Linked DNA regions of Oreochromis niloticus. Each later gene encodes a partner of the first gene's protein in a complex. Links are inferred from orthologs where the notes say so. Each region holds a gene or a part of one and is shown on either strand. Other genes may lie near its edges. The genes, in order: taf8 and taf13.

Region 1 (10,594 bases):
CATACACTGCCAAGGAAATCTAATGCACTTGGTGGCTCAGTGGTAAAAAAAGAAGAAAAGATCCTAAAACATGAATATATAATTTATCAATCAATGATAAATGAACAAGACATTTCATTTAATGTCTACTCGACATCACCATATATAAGGACATCTAAAGTGAAGCTAGACTATTTTTCAACCTCTTTTTTTATATTCGCTTTTACAGCAAGCCTACAATGCTGCTGTTGCCATCAACCACATGAAGAAGCTGCAGCTGGCCCACTCAGAGCAGGTCCTGAGGCAGGCCAGCATCCCAGACATCAGGGTCATCGACGTATCCTCCCCAACGAAAAACCGGAAACATCTTGATCCAGACAAGGTTGAGCCCAAGGTGCCAGAGGTCAACGGGAGTGTGCAGGGGACACATCACATGTCCTTGCCCACAAGCCATGTTGAACTAAAGAGCCACTGCCACCCACTGAAGACCAGTCAGAGCGAGTGCAGCACACAACACGCACCTACAATAGCTGAACAGGGAAAGCATGTGTACCACTCAGAGCCTGCCAACCTGAATGGGTTTGTAGCTGTTTTATCTCATATTGTGACCTTTGACCTTTTGAGTTTATATTATGGCTGACTAAAACTTTTCTCTTTTGCTTTTAGATACGGTAAAAAAACCAATAATAGCAAGACCATAACTGGTGTTTGTGCCATCATGTGAAAGCTGCTGAGTTTACATGGAAAAAAAACATTTTACCTGGTAGGTACACTTAAAGCATGTGGATATAACGAACAAATACATGTAATATTCAGATTTATATAATACTTTTTTATTTTTCAACTACAGTTCATCTCCATAGATGAACTCTTTATTTATTGTATTTGGTATTCTTGATTTAAATCTGAAAATCAGGCAGAATAACTCAAAACACCTGAGTGTCTGTGTGGTAACACCCTGGCTGTGACCTGAGGAGCCTAAAGCAAACAATCTAGAGCATGCTGAGTGTATTTTATTTTAAATTCTCAGCTCCATACGGACTTATTTCTCACCCTGAATGTGTTTCTGCCCTCTACAGGTCAGTGTTGCTGTTTTGACCCAGCATACAGCTGGTTTGCGTCAGCAGCTCCCAGGTACTGAGAACAACAAGTGGTTGATTCAAGCGGTGTGGGAGATCCACAGTCTGTGTGGGGCATTTTATTTTGGAGAGAGTGCCTAGGAAGCTTCCCAAAAACCACACCAAAGTACACAAACCACAACGAAACTCACATGCTCGGATGCACGAGTCTCATTTTTAACCAGAACAGTTTTGACAGTATTCAACAGAACTGTGTGATCTAGGAGGGAAAGCGATGGATGAGATGGGCTCAGCTCTAGCCGGGCTTTGCATGACTATCCGTGTCGTTTATGGTGACGATGTTCCTGACCACTGGTTTTTGATGGGGCAGAAGTCAGCTCATCCGAACACTTTGTGTTCATGATTCCATGCTTAAAATAATACACACAATGACGTCAATGACAATTATTGTACTTGATCATGTGTAAAGCACTTTCTATAGCCAGCCTGCATTTGTAAGCACAATAGAATAGAATAAGAAAACCGCATGCTTACTGCATCCAATAAGCCATACTGTTGTAATTTAATATGGTAAAGTTGTCTCATATTTTTGTTACTTTCTTTAAGTTAATTGTTTCATTAATTTATTTTTTTAATTATTTGCTTCTTTTTAAAAAAAATAAAATAAAATAGAGCAGATCAAATTCAAGTTTGAAATAAAAAAAATATATAACAATGTATATTTAAACAAACCTATCATTAACAGTGTAAATGCCACAAGTATATTCATTAAATGCCATAAACCTACTAGAACTTTTACATTCAGCTAAAGTCTATTGTTAAACATCTTTATTCACTTATTGTAAGCGGTTTACTTTGGGCAGTCTGCTGTTTGTCTCAGTATGTGGCTTTGTAATGATGGATTTAACATATATTAATGTTATATATGTATTATGCTGGGATCTCTGTATACTCAAAAATAAAGGATCTGCATTTGTTTTGCTGTGGTTGTTTTACCTTCACTCCTGGGAAACAAATTAATGGTAAACTTTGTAAATTAAATTAAGCTATTGCCAGTACATACACTAGCTAACCAATCACATTTCAGCCGGCAGCTCAATGCATGGTCAAGATGAGCCGCTAAAATACAAAGCAAGCATCAGAATGAGAAAAAAAAAAGGTGATTTGCAGTAAGTTACTTTGAACGTAGCATGGTTGCTTGTGCCAGATGAGCTGGTCTGCATATTTTACAAAGTACTGATCCTTTTTAGCACATTTAGCACCACATTGAATCCTGAAGCTGATGGGCTACAGCAGCAGAAGGCCACACTGGATCCTTGCCAGGTGGGCAACAGGAAACTCAGGGTACAGTTTAAACAGGCTTTGGTCAGACGTGTTTACTTTCTAAATATAGATTTTTTTTTTCTTCTTGTTAATTTCTGCAACTTTCTGCAAACTTGCATGTTATTTAGCATCATCCTAATATAAATACATCATAAACTGGGACTCATTTAACCTGAGCTGGTAACCTCAGTTAATCTAACCAACAAGCCAATTAGCAGGCTGTACTTCTGTACTTCAGCCTTTCCAGCACAGTCAGGATTACAAGGAGCAATGTACTTAGAACAGCAGGTTCCAGACGGAGTAAATTAAGCCAAGTAAGCCAACAGATACAAAACATGTCCTTGTGACCAGGTTTAAATGGCTTTTATTATAAGATGTGAATAGGAGTCAAAAGCTGAGAAATTTATGTTGACTTAAAGGGTATATGCTTTACATTATTATTCAGTTAACCCCGTTTATGAATTTCCTGTATTTGCCAAGCTGGATTCAACAAGAATAATCTAACTGCAAACACTGTGTTACAGGTAAAACACTCAGTTTTAAAATCTCTGAAATAAAAAAGTCACTGTGTGTGTAATTTCTGTAATTATTTTCACATATAAACATTTTAAATACTGTGTATCTAAACTCCTTCTCCCCTTAGCTCCTGTTGAAAGAGTTTTCACATCCACATTTGCCATAAAACTTCCCCCTCAACCACAGCATGGTGACTTGGTGAAGTCCAGAATAGAGACAGACTGTTCATTTCAGGCAGAAGTAACAAAAAAATGGAGCAAAGGTCTCCAAACAGTCTCAACATTTTCCCAGCAGTGGCAAACATAAATGCCCAGAGCTCAAACTGAGTTGCTCAAAGAGGAACATTATCGACTGTGTAATTATTGCGTTATTACCTGCAATATTTTAGGCAACCCTGCAATCCAAAAGAGGACAAACGGGGTGAAAGGTTGTCCCTGGATTAGCTATGAAGAGTGGAATTAGTGTGGATACTTTTTAGCATTTTCTTCTGTATTTTACTCTGACCTGATGTATTAGTAAGAAATTCTTTACATAAAATCTTCACCTCCTTATTCAGTTCAAAATCTCAAAGTACTGAATTAAAAAGTAATGCTTTAATGTAATGTCATGAGTAATCTGTATAACTGCTCTACTTTACTTAGAAAATTATATTAATATGCAATACGACAGTTAAAGACTTATTGTAACGTATTTGGTCACTACCAGCACAGCTAAAAGTCAAACTGGATAAAATGTTAAGCATGATTCATCTGGTGTACAGATGTTAAAGCAACGTGTGGTTGTCATTTTCACTCAGTGATGATGTCTCTGTGACAAAGATCAGACACATTTCCCAACTCGCTACTCTTCTCTCGTGCAGCAGGGAACTGGTTCAAAGGGCAGAGAGTTTGAGACACGTACACACGCACGTACTGTCAGCATTTTGGACAGATTTAGGTCCAGGAGCAGAGCAGCTCAGGACAGCATGTTTTAGGGGATTCTATTGACCCTTATCTTCTAATGAGGCTTATCTATTGCTGTTCAATAGGGGGTATTCCATGTGTAACCAATACTGTTGTCAGACAATATCAATTAACCAATAAATGGGGCTGGCTTTCCACAGCCCTGCATACGCTTATTGGACACTAATGAAGCTCTCCTGATAAAGATCAATATGCATGGCACAAACCCAGGACTCATGTTGTTCAGTGGTCAGTAACATGTTAACTGTCTGAATGTTTACATCATTTATTCATTTATTTTTAACTTTTCTTACACAGAAGGTGTGCCTGTGTGTGCTTGAAGAAGTTAATGAGTACCAACCAATGTTGCAAAGCATTACTTACTGTCAGAACAATATAATGTTTACTGCACGAACTGCACATGCAGAGTTCAGGCAACATGTCACATCACATGCATTTCATCACATACAGGGATTGGATGTGTCTGCCCTTTTACCCAAACAAGTTCTAATCTCCAACAAAACAATTGGAGTACAAGTGGCCTCATGAATATGCATTGTGTCCCCAGTGTGGGCGTTAACCTGGCCCTGCTTGGGTTTAAATATGCAGGCTCTGCCTTTGCCTCTGCCTGCAAAGCCTGATTACTCAGAGCGCACAGAAAAAGAGAATAAGAGAGTTTGCGCGTGTGCTTTGAAGTAAGTATTATTCTCTCTTTTTTGTGGATAGTAGAATTTTTGCATTTTAATTAAATGGATTAGTTGTCAGGAGTAAATCTTTGTACTGTTTACAGAATATCTGGTTACAATTGTTCCTTTTCTTTTAACAGACTCATCGACAACACATTATGGAAAACTTTGGCGAGATCATCCCATTTGCGAAGGAGATGCTGACACAGAGACCCAGCCGGAGCATGCTGAAGATCTACATGCTCGGCTCTACTCTGGCAATGCTTGGTATGGTCGGGGGACTGGTAGAGATGGCTTTCCTGCCCTTTGTGGAGAGAGATACTGAGGAGGATGAACCAGCAGAGCTTATCATCCTGAAGAAGAAGGAGAAGAAGCAGGTGCTGAAGCCACACACTGCCTCTGCTGATAGTGAAGTTGTTGATGTGGTGGATACAGTAATGCCTGAGGAAAAAGCCAAATATCTTTTGACTTCAAGGCGGAGAAGCTCGGCCAACCGCTTACATGCTTCTTAAAGAAACTTTCTCCTCTTCACATAAATGGACACTAGAGATGATGGTAATGTTGGTAAATCAAGTCATTGTGTGGAAATGGTCCCTTCGTGCCCATTCTTTATTTCAAAAATTGGTTAAATGTGCAGTTTGCTCCTGTTGACTGGGTAAAAAATGAGATGAGATACAGTGAAGACTGCGGGTTACAGTAATGTTGGCTGCTGGGCAGCAGATATTTGTGAATGTGATGTGATAGATTTGTTGTAAAAGTGGAATATGTGTGATTAAATTTGTTTTGCACCCTAATAAAAATATATTTTTTTCTCCAAACAATTGTCTCAGACCATGACTTTAATATAATCTGTGGGGTAGGTTACTTCAAAGAGCGGACCTCGTGTTATAATTAGCAAAAAGAGAGAAAATGGAACTAAAAAGATGCAACTGATCTTTTAATCTCAATTTTCTTCATTTAATGCAATAATTTTAGAACTATGACTGAAAAATATATTTTAAAAAGTATCACAAATACCTTTTCCAAGTACTTATTTTGCATTACAAATTACCAAATTAAAAGCCTGCTATATTAATTTTACAGCAGAGGATTTTCACAAATTAGAAGTTGAAGCAGGTGTAGTTTTACAGATGAACACTCGGGGGCGACAGACAAACAACATGTGTGATACGATCGCCTTCCGCTAGAGTGGCGGAAACAACGTCATACAGTCGTGCCGTGTTTACTAACGGCGGCTAAACGGTGTTCGGAGAGATACAAATATAAATCTGGTCAAAACAACGAGGAGGTTTCTAATAACTGCAGATGGCGGATCCTGCGGTGGCGTCGGGAGGCCCTCTGAATGCGGGAGCGGTAAGAAATGTGTTTTTGGGTCACGGAGAGGAGGCGGATGTAGCATGTAGAGGCGGATTCGCGGTGCTTGGCTAACAGTCAGACTGCACTGAAGTCCTAATTCAATTTAACAACTTTAAATAAATATAATTTAGTCCGGTGAAAGCTTGAAATACGTTTTTATAGACTATAAGGTGGGTTAACTTTATCTATGTCAGTGCTTACCCTGTCTGAATAAATGTTTGTGTCCTTAAAGTGACAGGAAGAGGTACGTTTTACATGTTCTTTAGTCTTAACATATGGGCACATCCTCATCTAAATTACAGCTGTGAACAAATAGAGTCTATACCAATATCACAAACACTAAATTTAGGGAGAATGAAGGTTTTAGCAACACTTCTTGTATTTTTCATCGATATTTGGGGTAGACCGACAAACCGTTCGAGCTGTTATAACTTCCATCTGTCTGCTAACTACAAGGGATGGCTATTAATAACATTTTAGACAAGGTCAGTTTATTTATAAAGCACCTTTATTATTAATAATAAAGTGGCACAGCCATTCAGTACAGTTTAATTTTATTTATATAGTGCCAATTCACAGCAACAGCCCCCTCAAGGCGCTCTATATTATAGACAAAAAAACCTACAATAATACAAAGAAATCCAACAGTCAGACCACCCCTAGGCAGCTTTAATGTTTGTCTGTTTTGTTTGGCCTATAAAGTATAAATCGTGCCTATTTGGATCTAAAAATGCTGGCGGAAAAAAAAAAAACGAAAATTCAAAAAAAATGTTTGATCTTTGTTGATATCCCTGACGTTTACATGAGCTAACCATGCCACTAAGTCTGGATTCATGAAAATGTTGAGGACAGTCCAGTTTGTTTGTTTGTTGTTTTTCCCCCCAATAAATACAGCAGCAGATTTTAAAGGTGTTTTCTGTCCACATGGTTGGGGAAGGTTCAGTGAGCATTTGCAGTATGTGTTATCACTTTGACTCAGAACTGTTGCATCAGTCTCCAGTGTAATCAATGGAGTGAGCATTGCAGTTTCAAGCTGCTTTAGTACCTCGGGGATAATGCAGTTTGCTGCAGTGGCAAAAATTAAATCTCTCAATTACACAAATGTATCTTACAGAAACATGTCCACCATCCTAAGCTCACTAAGAGCTGGATGGTGAATTAGAACAATACATTTTAATATTAACATAAAATTAATTATTATAGAATTGATTCAGATAAACAAAATGCCTTTTTAAATCACCCAGAGCCCAAATATTCTCCCACTTTCACCACCAGCACTGGGAATGTTTAATAAGTCTGTTCAGTAAGGACTCTTGAGAAATGTTTGTGAAATGTAGAAAATATGACAATTTTGTAGGTTTAGAGGCTCCTTGCCACTATATTTGTTAGAAGTCACATTTATTTCTAATGTTATGGTAATAGCCCTCATAACCTTAGTGTGCATGCACATTGTTGGCATATTGGTGTGTCCACCAAGCAAAGGGAATAACATACACTGTGTGGTAAATTTGCAAAGCTAGGCTCATTATGCTCTGTTTGTTATACTTCAAATTACAAAAGCTAATGTCCATGTGCCCCTTAGCTGTAAGTCAATTAAAGATTCTGGAACCATGTGTCTGTTTATTTAGCCTTTTAAAGAATCCTTTAGTCCCAAGTGTGTTGTGACTATAAGGAGATATTTTTCTCATTAAGACAACGGCATATCTATATGTATTTCTGTTGTATACCCTTATTCACATTTATTTTATTTTTCTCAGCGTGGAAGTGCTGGTAAAGCAACTTCTAGCCCTGCAGAAAACTACCTCCTGGCCCGCCGTCGAACCCTGCAGGTCGTTGTCAGCGCCCTGTTGACTGAGAGTGGCTTCGAGAGTGCAGAGAAGGCAGCTGTGGAAACCCTAACTGAGATGTTGCAGAGCTGTATGTATGATTTTTAAGTATACACCATCCACTGGGAAAGCTGTAAATCTTTAAGTGCCACTTTTACAATATATATCTGAACACCAGTGCAAGTGCACCTCACTTTATTTAACCTACTTTCTTAAATAAACACTAATGGGAATAATTTTGGTAGAGGTTGGTGAAAAAAAGCTGAGAAACTGACATAACTGAGCCCCTGTAGACTATTTTCAGAGCAGACGTTTCTTGAATTTGCAGTTGGTTGATGATTCATGTTTACAGAACTGATTATTTTTGTCTCTGTTTTTAGATATTACTGAAATAGGTCGATGTGCCAAAGCATACTGTGAACACACAGCCAGGAGCGTCCCGACACTGTCAGACACAGTGGTCACGCTTATTGAAATGGGTAAGACCTCCTATAACACATATGGATTAAACGTTGCTAAGAGAACACAATACTGATTCGATTTATTCTGTTTGTGTCATTAAAGGTTTCAATGTTGATACTTTGCCCATATATGCTAAAAGATCACAAAGGATGGTCATAACTGCCCGTAAGTAGGAACTCAGCTCTCCATTATTAGTATTAAAATGAATGACTTGAGACCTTTTGATCCAGTGGTTTTAGATGTGAAAAATGTTTATTTATTTATTTTTTAATTTCAGCTCCAGTGACAAATGCTCCTGTGACTCCCAAAGCGCTGTCAGCTGGACAGAAGCGCACACATCCAGCCCACATCCCCAGCCACTTCCCAGAATTCCCCGACCCTCACACGTATATCAAAACACCTGTGAGTCAGAACTTTTCCACTTCATTATGGAGATCCCTAGAAAGCTGGATTGTGTATTATAGAAGTACAACTGTACTAAAAAGTAAGCCACTTAAGAGTTTTTCTTCCTGTAGACTTTCAGAGAGCCCGTGTCAGACTACCAAGTGGTGAGAGAGAAGGCAGCAACTCAGAGGAGAGACGTGGAACGAGCACTCACACGCTTCATTGCCAAGACTGGAGAAACTCAAAGCCTATTCAAAGATGACATCACTACCTTCCCATGTGAGTGAATCTCAGTAAGCTGATCTTTATTTAATGCCAGATTATGTCTTGTGATTACTGAATGAAGCATGCTGCATTTTCATGAGTTCTGATTCCTGTGATTGTCGTCAGTAATCGCAGCACGGCCGAGCACCATCCCATATCTCAGTGCCCTCCTGCCCTCAGAGCTGGAACTGCAGGCTCTGGAGGAGACGGACTCCTCTGAGCAGGATGACCAGACTGATGGCGAGAACACAGCAGGAAACGCCATTACTGTAAGTCTCCCTGGCCGGGATCTAGTGTGCCATAAATGTGTATGTATGTATATTATATATACATATATATATATTTATAGATAGATGGATGGATAGATGGATGTATATGTGGTATAAACAGCAAATATAAGAATTGTAAAGCAAATGAATATCTTCTTGGGAGATTTCACAAAATCTTGAATCTTTCTTTTATTAAAATTGTATCACACATTAAAATTTTAAGCAACAGAAAAAAAATTGCTGCTCCTGGCAGGCGTACAGAATCATCTGATCTCTATATTTTTGTGGCTCTTCTCTTACTGTTACTAGAGTGACAGGGAAAGATCTGTTGCAGATTAGCCTGAACAAATTTAAGTGAGAATCTGATTCATTTCATTACTGTGATAACAGAATTTCAGGGTCATTTTTTTCAGTATTAAACTCCATTAGTTGCACAGCGTTATCAGATTTTCAGAGAGAGTCTCAGTACAGATGCTCAAGTATATTAGCAAACATGTGCCAGAAGTTTCCAGAAGAAGTTTCTCAGAAAACCAGTAGATTTTCTTAGGAACTGAAAGCTACTCAAGCCTTCCATAGACTTTAATAATGGCGCTTTTGTGAACATCTATTTGAGCTAATTTCGAAGTAAGAAGAGGCTTTATGAAACTGAAGTAATTTCAACATAGGGGTTTTTATGTCATAGTGCATTTCCATGTTCTGGTTGAATTCTGTTGCCATCAAGACGTCACAAAATTTAAAGTAGTAGTTTTAAAATGGGAGAGTTTTGTTTATGCTGAAAATTTATATTTGACAGTTGATATCATCCTTATATTTACCCTTTAAATGGGACCTGTAATGCTTCTTGTTTATTTTCTACCCTGTCTGTTACAGTGGTGGATGCTCATATTAAAGAAGTTTCAAACAAAGTTTCAAACAAAGATTCAGCACAGGTGATCTGTGAGCCAAGAGCTCAGGCTTTTGGCTCACAGGCTCTTGGCTCTGTATGATGGTGAGAGAGATGTGAGAGTGGATATCCTTAACCGAGCAGCTCTGGCTGTGAGCACAGACGCCTCAGCCATCTGCAGTTTGATTAGGAGCTGCTGCCAAATTTAAGGTGGCTGGATTTTTCTGGGGATTGACTTGCTTGAATTTAGGGGGGGGGCATACAAAGAGTCCAGTAAAAGATTAATAAGGATTATTTTGAATGTTGTGCATAACAGCCCCCCTTTATTGTGAAAATACAGCCAAGGAACAGCTCAGCTTAACAGAGTGACTAGAAATGGGATGAAACAGCTAGCAGCTAAAATATTAAAATAAAGCTAACACACTTCTGAAGCTAGGACACGTGCTTCATTCATTTAATACATACAAAAAAACCAAACAAACAAGTAGTGTTTCATGCTCTAATTACTTATAATTAGTATCCTGGTTACTGCTGGAAATCAAGCTTGCATTACTTTATGAATTCTTTGAAATCAATGTAATTGTGTAAATGACTTTTAGTTTGTTGATAGGCAAATTTCTACTTTT
Region 2 (9,488 bases), about 24 Mb from region 1:
TACGCAGTTACAATAGTTTTCCACAGACTGCTTATAGGGCTTGCCCACTCATGTCTTTTGAAAGTCCAATATCTTGTAGAGATTTTATAAAAGAATTCCTTTTTGTTCTCATAATGAAAGGCATGTGGTGAATCACACTGCCACTTCTGCTTCAATCAGCAGTGCTTTATTTGTAGATTACATCTCTGGTGTGCAATGTTACGTGCTTGACTGTGGCACAAAAGCAGAGGCCCTCCGTCACTGAGCTACATCAGGACTGATGTGCCTTTACAGACCCCACTATGCAGTGTGATGGTCATTTTCCATTTAAGAAACTGATTAAGTGTCAACACGGTGTCTATTCTGACACCCACACCTCATTAACATGTAAATAGGAAATAGTTCACATGTGTAATAGATCAGCAGTAGTTTCTCAGGGGTTCAGCTCAGCTGCAGAAAGTGGAGAATTATCAAAGCCCTGTAGCAGCTGCTTGATTAATGGGCACCCACTCATGTCTTTTGAAAAGTCCAGTATCCCCTCAGTAAGGCTGCCCTTCGTATCGAGCTGAAATCAGTCCCACTCTTTGAACACAGCTCTATTACCACAGTCAGGGCAGATTATTCACATGGACGCCACCTCATGCTCAGAACTGCCAAAAATCATATCATTCAGTTGACTCTGATAAGTCAGCTGAATGATACCAGCTGGCTGAAATACACCTCTGTGATGGAGTGCATTTACAGTACACTGCATCAGTGAAGTGATTTTTCAAAATAAAAAATTCATTCAAAATAATCAAATGTAATGTCTCTTAAGCACAGTGAGAACACTTCTCGTAAATTCCTTTTTATAAATTATAAATAATTTGGGATATCATTTATCTGAAGTGAAGGCAGCTGGACCACACCTCAAACAATCCCCTTCCACTCCAACGTCCACAAATGCATACTTGTCCCACACACTTGTTTGTTCTTGTTCCTGTGCCCAATCCTCTCGCTCTCATGTCATCTCTGATCTGCCAGGCCAGGATGAACCGCGAGGTGAGAGAAGACGAGGCAACAGGAGTTTAACAAAACGCGAGATTCTTGCAGCCTTTAAAGCAGTGTCGGTGAAAAGAACTGTGGCTACATTACTGGCCCAGTTTTTTGCTTTTAATTACATTCACAGCGTGGCACAATGTGACGCATGGATCTCTGCCTTTGTTTACCATGTCATACGTTTTAGGAATTGAGACAGCCTTTAAGATTCTGCACTGCAACTGATGTACAGGTGGGAGTACGGAGGAGAGACTTTACATGGGAGCTCAAAGGAGAGAAATGAGAAGAGCTCGTAGGGTGCTACAGCATATTTGGAATTTCAACACACTGGCTGTTGTGTTGTGCTCAAGTCATAAACCCGAAACCAATCAGGTCTGTGTTCTAAATTTCACTACTTTTTACACGTTGGGTCTTGGGCTTGAGAAACTACTGCTGATCTATTACACATGTGAACTATTTCCTATTTACATGTAAATGAGGTGTGGGTGTCAGAATAGACACCTTGTTGACACTTAATCAGTTTCTTAAATGGAAAATGACCATCACACTGCATAGTGGGGTCTGTAAAGGTTTTCAAAAGACTTGTAATGCCATAATTAGGGGCTACAGAGCTTAATTTAACGCAGCGACAAAACATGAAAGAAAATGAACTTATTCTATACTCACCTTCATTAAACAGGAAGAGGGGAAAGAGCCCAAGGAACATGAGAGGTTGGAGGTGGTACATGGCATCTATTGGGTTTTGAAGGCCTAAAACAGTGCAGCATGAAAAAGATGAAAATAAGAGGGAACTGTGTCCCCGCTGGGAAATCTCAAATCATAGCAGAGTTTTAAATCAGTGCTTTACAAGCCTGGCATATAGTTAAAGTTACTGCTGTTGGGCTTCAATGTGTTTTACTTTGTAAATGCTTATGGATGGATGCTGCTGTAATAAACTCAGAGGAAAGACAGTGGGAAGCAACAACCCAACTTTACCTGCTGTTAATGTTGTGTCAAAACCTGCATTAGAGCCATCACTGGTGGATCTTGTTAACTTTTTGTAGACCATTCAAGGATGACGGCTAGGTTGAAACCACATAACAGGATATTTTGGGTCTCTCTGATAGTTGTTTTCTTTTTTTTGTATTTCACACCAATCCTCTTTGAAATGGTGTGTATCATGTTTTACTGTATACCTGATGAAAGCCACAACTCAAAATTAATTGGTGTAGCTCCAGGTTATAGGCTTTTTAACCTCTTTGGAAGCCCTCACTCCACAGTGACTGAACACTTACCCAGCTCGGCTTTCTGCGTGAGGACCTGAGTGAGGGTCCATCGAATCCCCCCTATGAAGGATGCTAGGAGCACCAGAATAAAGCCTTCCAGGTTAAACTGGGTCGACTCAAAGGTAAACATAAAGAGACCGCAGGAGATCAACAGGACCACCAGGATCAGAAATGGGTTCTGGATTTAAAGGGAGAAAAGACAATGACACAGCAGTTTCAAGTTAAAATTGAACAGAAAAAAGAAGAAGAAAGAAACAGGATGGCAGATAAAAGAAGAACAGACAAAGCACAAACTAGAGGAGAGATTAGACAAGAGGTAAGGATTGCTCATTACTGCTCATGTGATGAAACCCCCATCAAGCTACACAAAACACCACTGTGCTCTGTAACAGGAAGTGATACAAAACTGAAGTGAGAGCTCAAACACCTCATAGTGAGTGACTATTGTGATTTGGTGCTATATAGATAAAGTTGAACTGAATCGAATCTTTAAGCTATGACACCATTAAGAAAAATTGGCATATTTATAACCGATCCATCACCGCTGCATGTGCAGCACTGTTTTCAAATTAGAAATTTCGCATGTTCTGCTACAGCCACAGTGCACTTTGTGAACGTTGCTGGATGCCTGCTTTGTGCAATGCACCACAATCGAGAAAACAGACTAAAAGAATTGCCTCTTGTATCATTTTGCCTGTATGAGAAGCATGCTTAATTCTCCAGTTGTGTCTGCGTGACATTAAAGTGAAGACAAAACTGCACTGTTAGCACTGCTGTCAGCGTCATGTGATCAGTACACTCACCGGCTCCTCCAGTTTAAAGACCAGAGAGAAAAACAGGATAAACAGCACTGCTGAGGACTTGGTCATGGTATACCTTGAATGACACAAAATAAAAGTCGTAGAATATGTAAGGAACAATACAGTGACTGGTTAAGATAAAATACTGAGCTTCTAATAAAAATCTCCAAACCACAAACTTACAGGCTAATGGTGATGAAGAGGAAGCTCCAATTGGAAAGTCCGATATCCAGCGCTGTTGCGATGGCTGCGGGTAAGAAGGACAGAATTTAGAAGTACAGGATGACAGGTTCATTTTAAAACTTAAACACAGTTAAAACCACTCATTTCACTGCATTTAGAGCACAAATACCCACTAAAAAAAAATAAAAAATACATGGGGCGCACCCTGGGGCGCCTCTGTCAGTGCGCCCCAGGGTGGCTGTGGCTACTATGTAGCTTGCCATCACCAGTGTGTGAATGTGTGTGTGAATGGGTGGATGTCTGGATATGTAAAGCGCTTTGGGGTCCTTAGGGACTAGTAAAGCGCTATATAAATACAGGCCATTTACCATTTACCATGTATATAATCAATCCCACTGCCCTTTATTCACATATTAAAATCACCTTGATGTTGTTTTAGTGTATACAGTACAACGGAACAAAATATTAATTACTTTTGATTTAATTACTCTGAATTTTTGCTTTTCTCAGTCTTTGACTCACTTTTTCCTTCTGACTCTTTTGCTGTTCTAACAGGTAAATTTCCTCAGTGTGGGATTATTTCAACTGATCTTATTACAACTTAAGTTTGGGCAGAATTTTAGTTTATACGAGGCAAAACTGGTTTGGAACGATTCATTTAATGCGCTTGCTTTTACATATCTTCATCAGTCTCCTCAGGGTTGGCGTTTTTATTCTCTCCACACAGACTTTAGACGAAGCATTCCGCAGAGCTTAGTCAATCGGTGAACCCAATAAGAGGCGACTGTCCCTTGTCTAAATCACCAGTCTCCCGACTCAAGATAAAACTCACCTGTGGGTGCTACTTTTCTGAGGTACTCTTTCCACCTCAGAGTAACACGAGGTTTCCCTGTCCACCACTGCACAGCCTGTCGTGTCAGAGCTGACAGACAGAAGATGATGGTGAGGTGAACTAAAGTCATGAAGAGGGGGTAATGGAAGCCCTGAGAGAGGGAGAGAGACAGCTGGGGTCATCTAGGATGGCCTAGTCAGTGTAGGTCTCCTTCTCAGGATCCAGGAGACTCCCAAACAAGCAAAGCAGAGCGCCCTCAGGTGCTTATTTTCATTAATCACCTTTAATACAACCAAGCATGTTATAGGAAACTGACATGGCTGTATGAGCTTCTTTACTCACCTTCATTAGCCATTTGTTATAGAATGTGATGCCTATAGAGAAGACATAGTAGAGAAGAACTAATCCAACAGTGCGCAGCCCCCTGCACAGGAACTGGACCGGGCACGCCATACAGGACTGCCAGGACCAGCTGTCCACAACACACAGCTACTGCAGAGGGGCCATCTCCGACCTGAACCCACATCCTCCCCGAACAGCCATACCAGACCTCTTTACAGCAGAAAAGGAACAGAAACACCGCAGAGAAGAAAAACAAGGTTACAGCAGGACTGCGTTTGTGCACATTAATGCCAGTTAGTGGAACAGGCGCTCAGACAGAATTTAAGCGAAACCTATTTGATACAATGTTAGCATAACGGCAACATTCATTTTAGCTCAAATTAAACGTTATCAGCTACTAGCAATCTCTTAACTGCGTCTGCTAGCGGATAAGCAGCTGGTAACAATGTTGTGCTAATCTTAAACACTGTGCGTTAACTAACAGGAACATCAGACAGCCCCAGCAGACGAACTCACCAGCAACAGTCCTCCAAGAGTGACTGAGAGAGGAAGGCTCACTGGATAGCTGCTACGTTTTATAGGTCAAACTGGTTTCTTTGTTAACTTGCCTTATAGTTCATTAGCTAACATTAGCCTGCCATTTAGCATCTATATTAACTTGTTAACATTATCAGGTCAGTAATTAGCTATAATACTCAATCCGGTTGACTGAGATAAGCTTTGAACATCACTTGGCGGGGCAGGAGTCCACAGCAAGATCCACGGGGACGTGTCACTTACTCACGGCAACGTGCACGTGCTGAGCCCTTGCGATAAGGCTCTCAGTGTTTACTTGGAATCTGAACCCTCTGTTCAAGCACCGAGATCCATTTCTTTCCACGTTAGCTGTGAGGTGTTGTTCTTGTTCAGCCACATGAACAATGCTTCTGTTTCCACTCACACCGCCAACTTGTCATCGCCCTTTGTGCATAGTTTGTCTAGGTCTAGGGTTTAGCTAAAGTAAAACCAAATGAAAATGGCGTAGCTTTTTTTACATTCTAAGCAAGCTACGTGTCGGCGATTCCCGCATAAACCAGGCGATATTAAATTAAGTTCGATCTTCCGATACAATCAAACAGATCGCGCTTTAAAGGAAACTCACCGTCAGCTGTGTTGGCTTCTTCACTTCTTCTTCTTCTTTGTGTTTAACGGCGGTTGGCAACCAACGTAAAGGAGCATTACCGCCTCAGCTGTGTTGGCGAATAACACGAGTAAATTTAAACACTGGCGAGAGATGGCCACAAGGGGGAGTATCTGTGATTTCTAGCCCTGTCTGTTTCCTCTACAAACCACCACTTCCTCAGTCAAGGAAACAAAAGCGGAAGTCGGCGCACATAACAAGCTGTTGTTGTGAGACAGTTGTGAACAAGCACAAGGTAAGTTTAATGTTAACGCGTATTTAACAATGAGCAGGTAATGTTGAGGTTTAGAATAACGCTTGCGGGTGTTTTTCAGCAAATGGCGGAGGAGGAGGACGAGCCAGGCTTCGACGAAGAGTTGGAGGACGGCTCCGGCGGGGTGGATGTCGGCTACGGCAAGAGAAAGAGACTCTTCTCCAAGGAGCTCCGGTGCATGATGTACGGATTTGGAGACGACCAGAACCCTTACACGGAGTCTGTGGATATTCTGGAGGATCTGGTGATCGAGTTTATCACGGAAATGACCCACAAGGCCATGTCTATCGGGCGCCAGGGTCGCGTCCAGGTGGAGGACATCGTTTTCCTCATTCGCAAAGATCCCAGGAAGTTTGCTAGAGTCAAAGATCTGCTGACCATGAACGAGGAGCTGAAGAGAGCTCGGAAAGCTTTCGATGAAGCAAATTATGGCTCTTAAAATCACAACGGGACTGTTTGTTATTCCTCCCGTGACCTTTGTTTCTTTAAATTTACTGTACGTGTGCTCGTCAGTTCTTCAGTCTTCAGACTGCATGTTTGTGTCTCGTGTGTGTTTATAGACAGTAAAACAAGAAATTTCAGTGTATATGCTTGAATTCAGACTTTTTGGTTAAGTAAAATAAAGCGACTTGCCAATAGTTTTAAAGTGACCAGGTCCTCATCTTAATTTCTTGTGCGCAAACACCCCGTTATTCAGCATCACAACAAGAAATCTTTGAAATCGGCTTAGAAAAATTAACAGTGAACTCACAAATGTTAACAAATGAGTTTTTCAGTTGTTTAAAAAAAATGACCCAATTTGATGTTTGTGGTTCTTTTAATAGGATTCTAGGAGTGAACAGGGTTCAGCATTCGGAGGGACTTGGGTGTTAAAGAGCTCAACAGTTTAACATTTCTTAGCATACAATTTAAAGGATGGGGCTTTATTTTTGGTTTTTTAGTGTAAATCACTGCATGGACTGCGTTTGTGGTCACAGTATCCACAAATGCAGATGAAACATCAAACAATCACAGAAAAAATTTATTTAATGAAGAAACACTCCCCTTCCTTTCACTTGAACGCATTAACCCTGACAAGCCTGAACTATGAAATCATTGTCAGAAAAATTAATATAATTTGAAACTGGAGTGTTTATTGAGCTTCGTCATTAATTTATTAAAATGAGAAATATCAATTTGCAATGTGAGTTTAAATTTGAATCCCATTTGCAACATCTGGTAGTCTATTGTGGCTTCAGTAAAAGGACTAGATGTTACAATCCCTGATAATGCATTGCTTTAAATGGTGAAAATCTTGAGGGATGGCTGTTATGAGGAAAGGCAGCCCAGAAACCAGCGGCACACATCGTTGTGTGCCTCAACTTTCGGTCTTTTACCCAAGCTAATCTGCCATCTTTTTACTTCCTTGGTTAGGTTTAGGGATTAGAGATCTGATCTAGATTATCATATTAAAATTTGGGACACATGGTCAGTAGTGGACCTTGGATTCATCGGGTGTTTCAGTCATTATCGCTAGACACCCTCATCCAAGAAGGCCCTGTCAGGGTTGATCAGGCCCCGGAGTGTGTCACTGGTTTATGTTAAACTGTTATTTCTTCTTTCTTCTCTTTAGTTTTCTACAGTTTATTTTCTTCTATTTATTTGCTGGAACTTATTTATGTTTTTCAGTGGTGATGCAGAGGTCTTAAAATCTCACAAAACCTATCTTTCAAATATTATCCGATTCTCTTGGCGTTACAGAGTTAAAGAACTCAGGCAAAGTGGAAATCCATGCACGTTAGGTCCTCTGTGGGCATTAGGTTCAAAGACACTGCTGGAAATCGCACGAGGACACAATATACAGTATTTTATAAATCAGACAGCCTTTGCTAATGAGCTCACCAGTAGCTAGAGGTGAAGCCCTTCAATTGTAACTATTGGTGTTGGAGGGAGAAAGCAGACAAGCAGCTGTCCGGTGATCCGAAATTCAGCAGCTCCATTTTATAAGTCACTGGAGCTTATTTCAGTAGGGCAGTGCTCAAGCACTGTGATTTATAACAGCGTGGTTCTGTGGTGAATGTGTGTTTCATAACACTTTTGTTTTAAAGCACAGCATTGTGCTGTGTTACCAATCTGATACGTGAAGAGTGGATCTGCACAAGAATTTAAGCATAATTTTACTTTGAATAAGTAAAAAAAAATTAAGTATTTAACTTAAACCCACAGATTGAATCCTCAAATGTATGTGAAGTATCTAAAGAAAGGTTGTGTAAATGACACAAAGAGGGTTGCTCTTCATGTCCCCCTTCTGGACACGCTGTGGTAATGAAACAAAAATCACAATACAGGAAATTAAGCCACAAACTGCTGAGCAGCTGAATGTCAAGCACGAATGGAAAAACTAACCCAAAAAAGCCCATTGCCTTGTAAAATTATAGCAGCTGGTGTCATCATCTCCCAAACACTCACAGAGGGCTGTTAAACACAGTGGGAAACATGTTCCAGTCCCAACTTTTCAGGAGCAAGTTGCTGGCATTCAAAAACAGGAGTGTTCCAGACTTTTTATGAAAAGGTGTCGTAAACATTTGTCAAAGCAGACAGTTTGCAACCCGCAATTAAACTTTATCAACACAGCCAGGAATACTAGACATGATGCCGACCTCATCTGTGCCCACATGTGTGATGAACTGAGGTTTTGCGACTGTCCGTAATGTCCAAATAATTCTGACCTCAGTCGAGGCTTTTGGTTATTTTAAAAGCAAAACTGGCTGTGGTCGGAACAAAACGGACAAAAAGAGGAAAAGAAACAGATTTTATTAATATTCCTCAAAACAAAATTATTACACAGACCATAAATATGACAGACCAACTACAAGTGAGCATGTGTTAGTTCATTTATTTCAAGCAAATTACTTCTTTGTACAGTGAAGTGGTTGAATTAATTGGTCTAAGCAGCGGGTAACAGGCTGCCCGTCTATCTAGACTACATCTAGATCAGAGCTTTACCAGCAGAGAGGAGGAGGGGGTCACTGATGGCACGACATGCCATGCGTACTGCAAAAGCTGTGTGCAGTGAAAAAAAAAACCCTGTTGCAGCCTTGCTGTCCTGTTACAGGGCTGGGTGTCAGCATGGCATCTAGGGGATGTCTGCATTTACAAGCGAGCCAGGGAAAAGATGTTGCCCAGCCAGCGACCCCCCACTGGGTGCTCTAGCTGTCTGTTGAGGACTTTTATAAGGATGGAGAAGAAAGGCAGTGAACCAGGTGGACAAGAGGGAGAAGGAGGGAGTGGGTCAGAATGGGGGTTCACAGAAGGGTGGAGGAATGTCCATGAGTCTTTCTTGTTCTACTGCACATTCTCCATCATCTTGAGGAATTCTGATAAAGAAAAGAGAAATTGGACAGCATTACATTTTACATCCATTTCTTTATTTACTTGAATAAACTGTAAAGGAACAAGTATCAGTTCAGCTCAAGCAGGAAGGGTGTAATTTGATTTTAAGATGATGACAGGAGTGTGGGAACTGTACAACACAGCCTAGTAGACAACAATACGGTCCCTAAAGTCTGACTGTAAAACCTGATATGCCATAGAACAAGACTGATACAGCTTATTGGTACTCTAGCAAAGCTGCAGC

Evidence for each region.
Region 2: taf8 (region 1) and taf13 share a complex: the UniProt entries of both Homo sapiens proteins name them as parts of the TFIID basal transcription factor complex. The link is inferred for Oreochromis niloticus from reciprocal best matches to the Homo sapiens genes TAF8 and TAF13.

Annotation. Positions count from the first base shown.
Region 1 is NC_031984.2:7,318,465-7,329,058, reverse strand, and holds the start of taf8 (transcription initiation factor TFIID subunit 8), read left to right. Parts: upstream 1-5,708; 5' UTR 5,709-5,829; coding exon 5,830-5,877; intron 5,878-7,637; coding exon 7,638-7,797; intron 7,798-8,086; coding exon 8,087-8,185; intron 8,186-8,270; coding exon 8,271-8,333; intron 8,334-8,445; coding exon 8,446-8,570; intron 8,571-8,683; coding exon 8,684-8,831; intron 8,832-8,942; coding exon 8,943-9,085; intron 9,086-10,594. Other genes in the region: camk1gb (calcium/calmodulin-dependent protein kinase IGb), read left to right, coding at 209-558, 646-703; g0s2 (G0/G1 switch protein 2), read left to right, coding at 4,683-5,036. UniProt on the Homo sapiens protein: The TFIID basal transcription factor complex plays a major role in the initiation of RNA polymerase II (Pol II)-dependent transcription.
Region 2 is NC_031984.2:31,661,584-31,671,071, reverse strand, and holds taf13 (transcription initiation factor TFIID subunit 13), read left to right. Parts: upstream 1-5,718; 5' UTR 5,719-5,854; intron 5,855-5,933; 5' UTR 5,934-5,936; coding exon 5,937-6,311; 3' UTR 6,312-6,522; downstream 6,523-9,488. Other genes in the region: slc35h1 (solute carrier family 35 member C2), read right to left, coding at 1,684-1,767, 2,292-2,460, 3,086-3,158, 3,266-3,329, 4,098-4,248, 4,440-4,550; troponin C, skeletal muscle, read right to left, coding at 9,197-9,228. UniProt on the Homo sapiens protein: The TFIID basal transcription factor complex plays a major role in the initiation of RNA polymerase II (Pol II)-dependent transcription.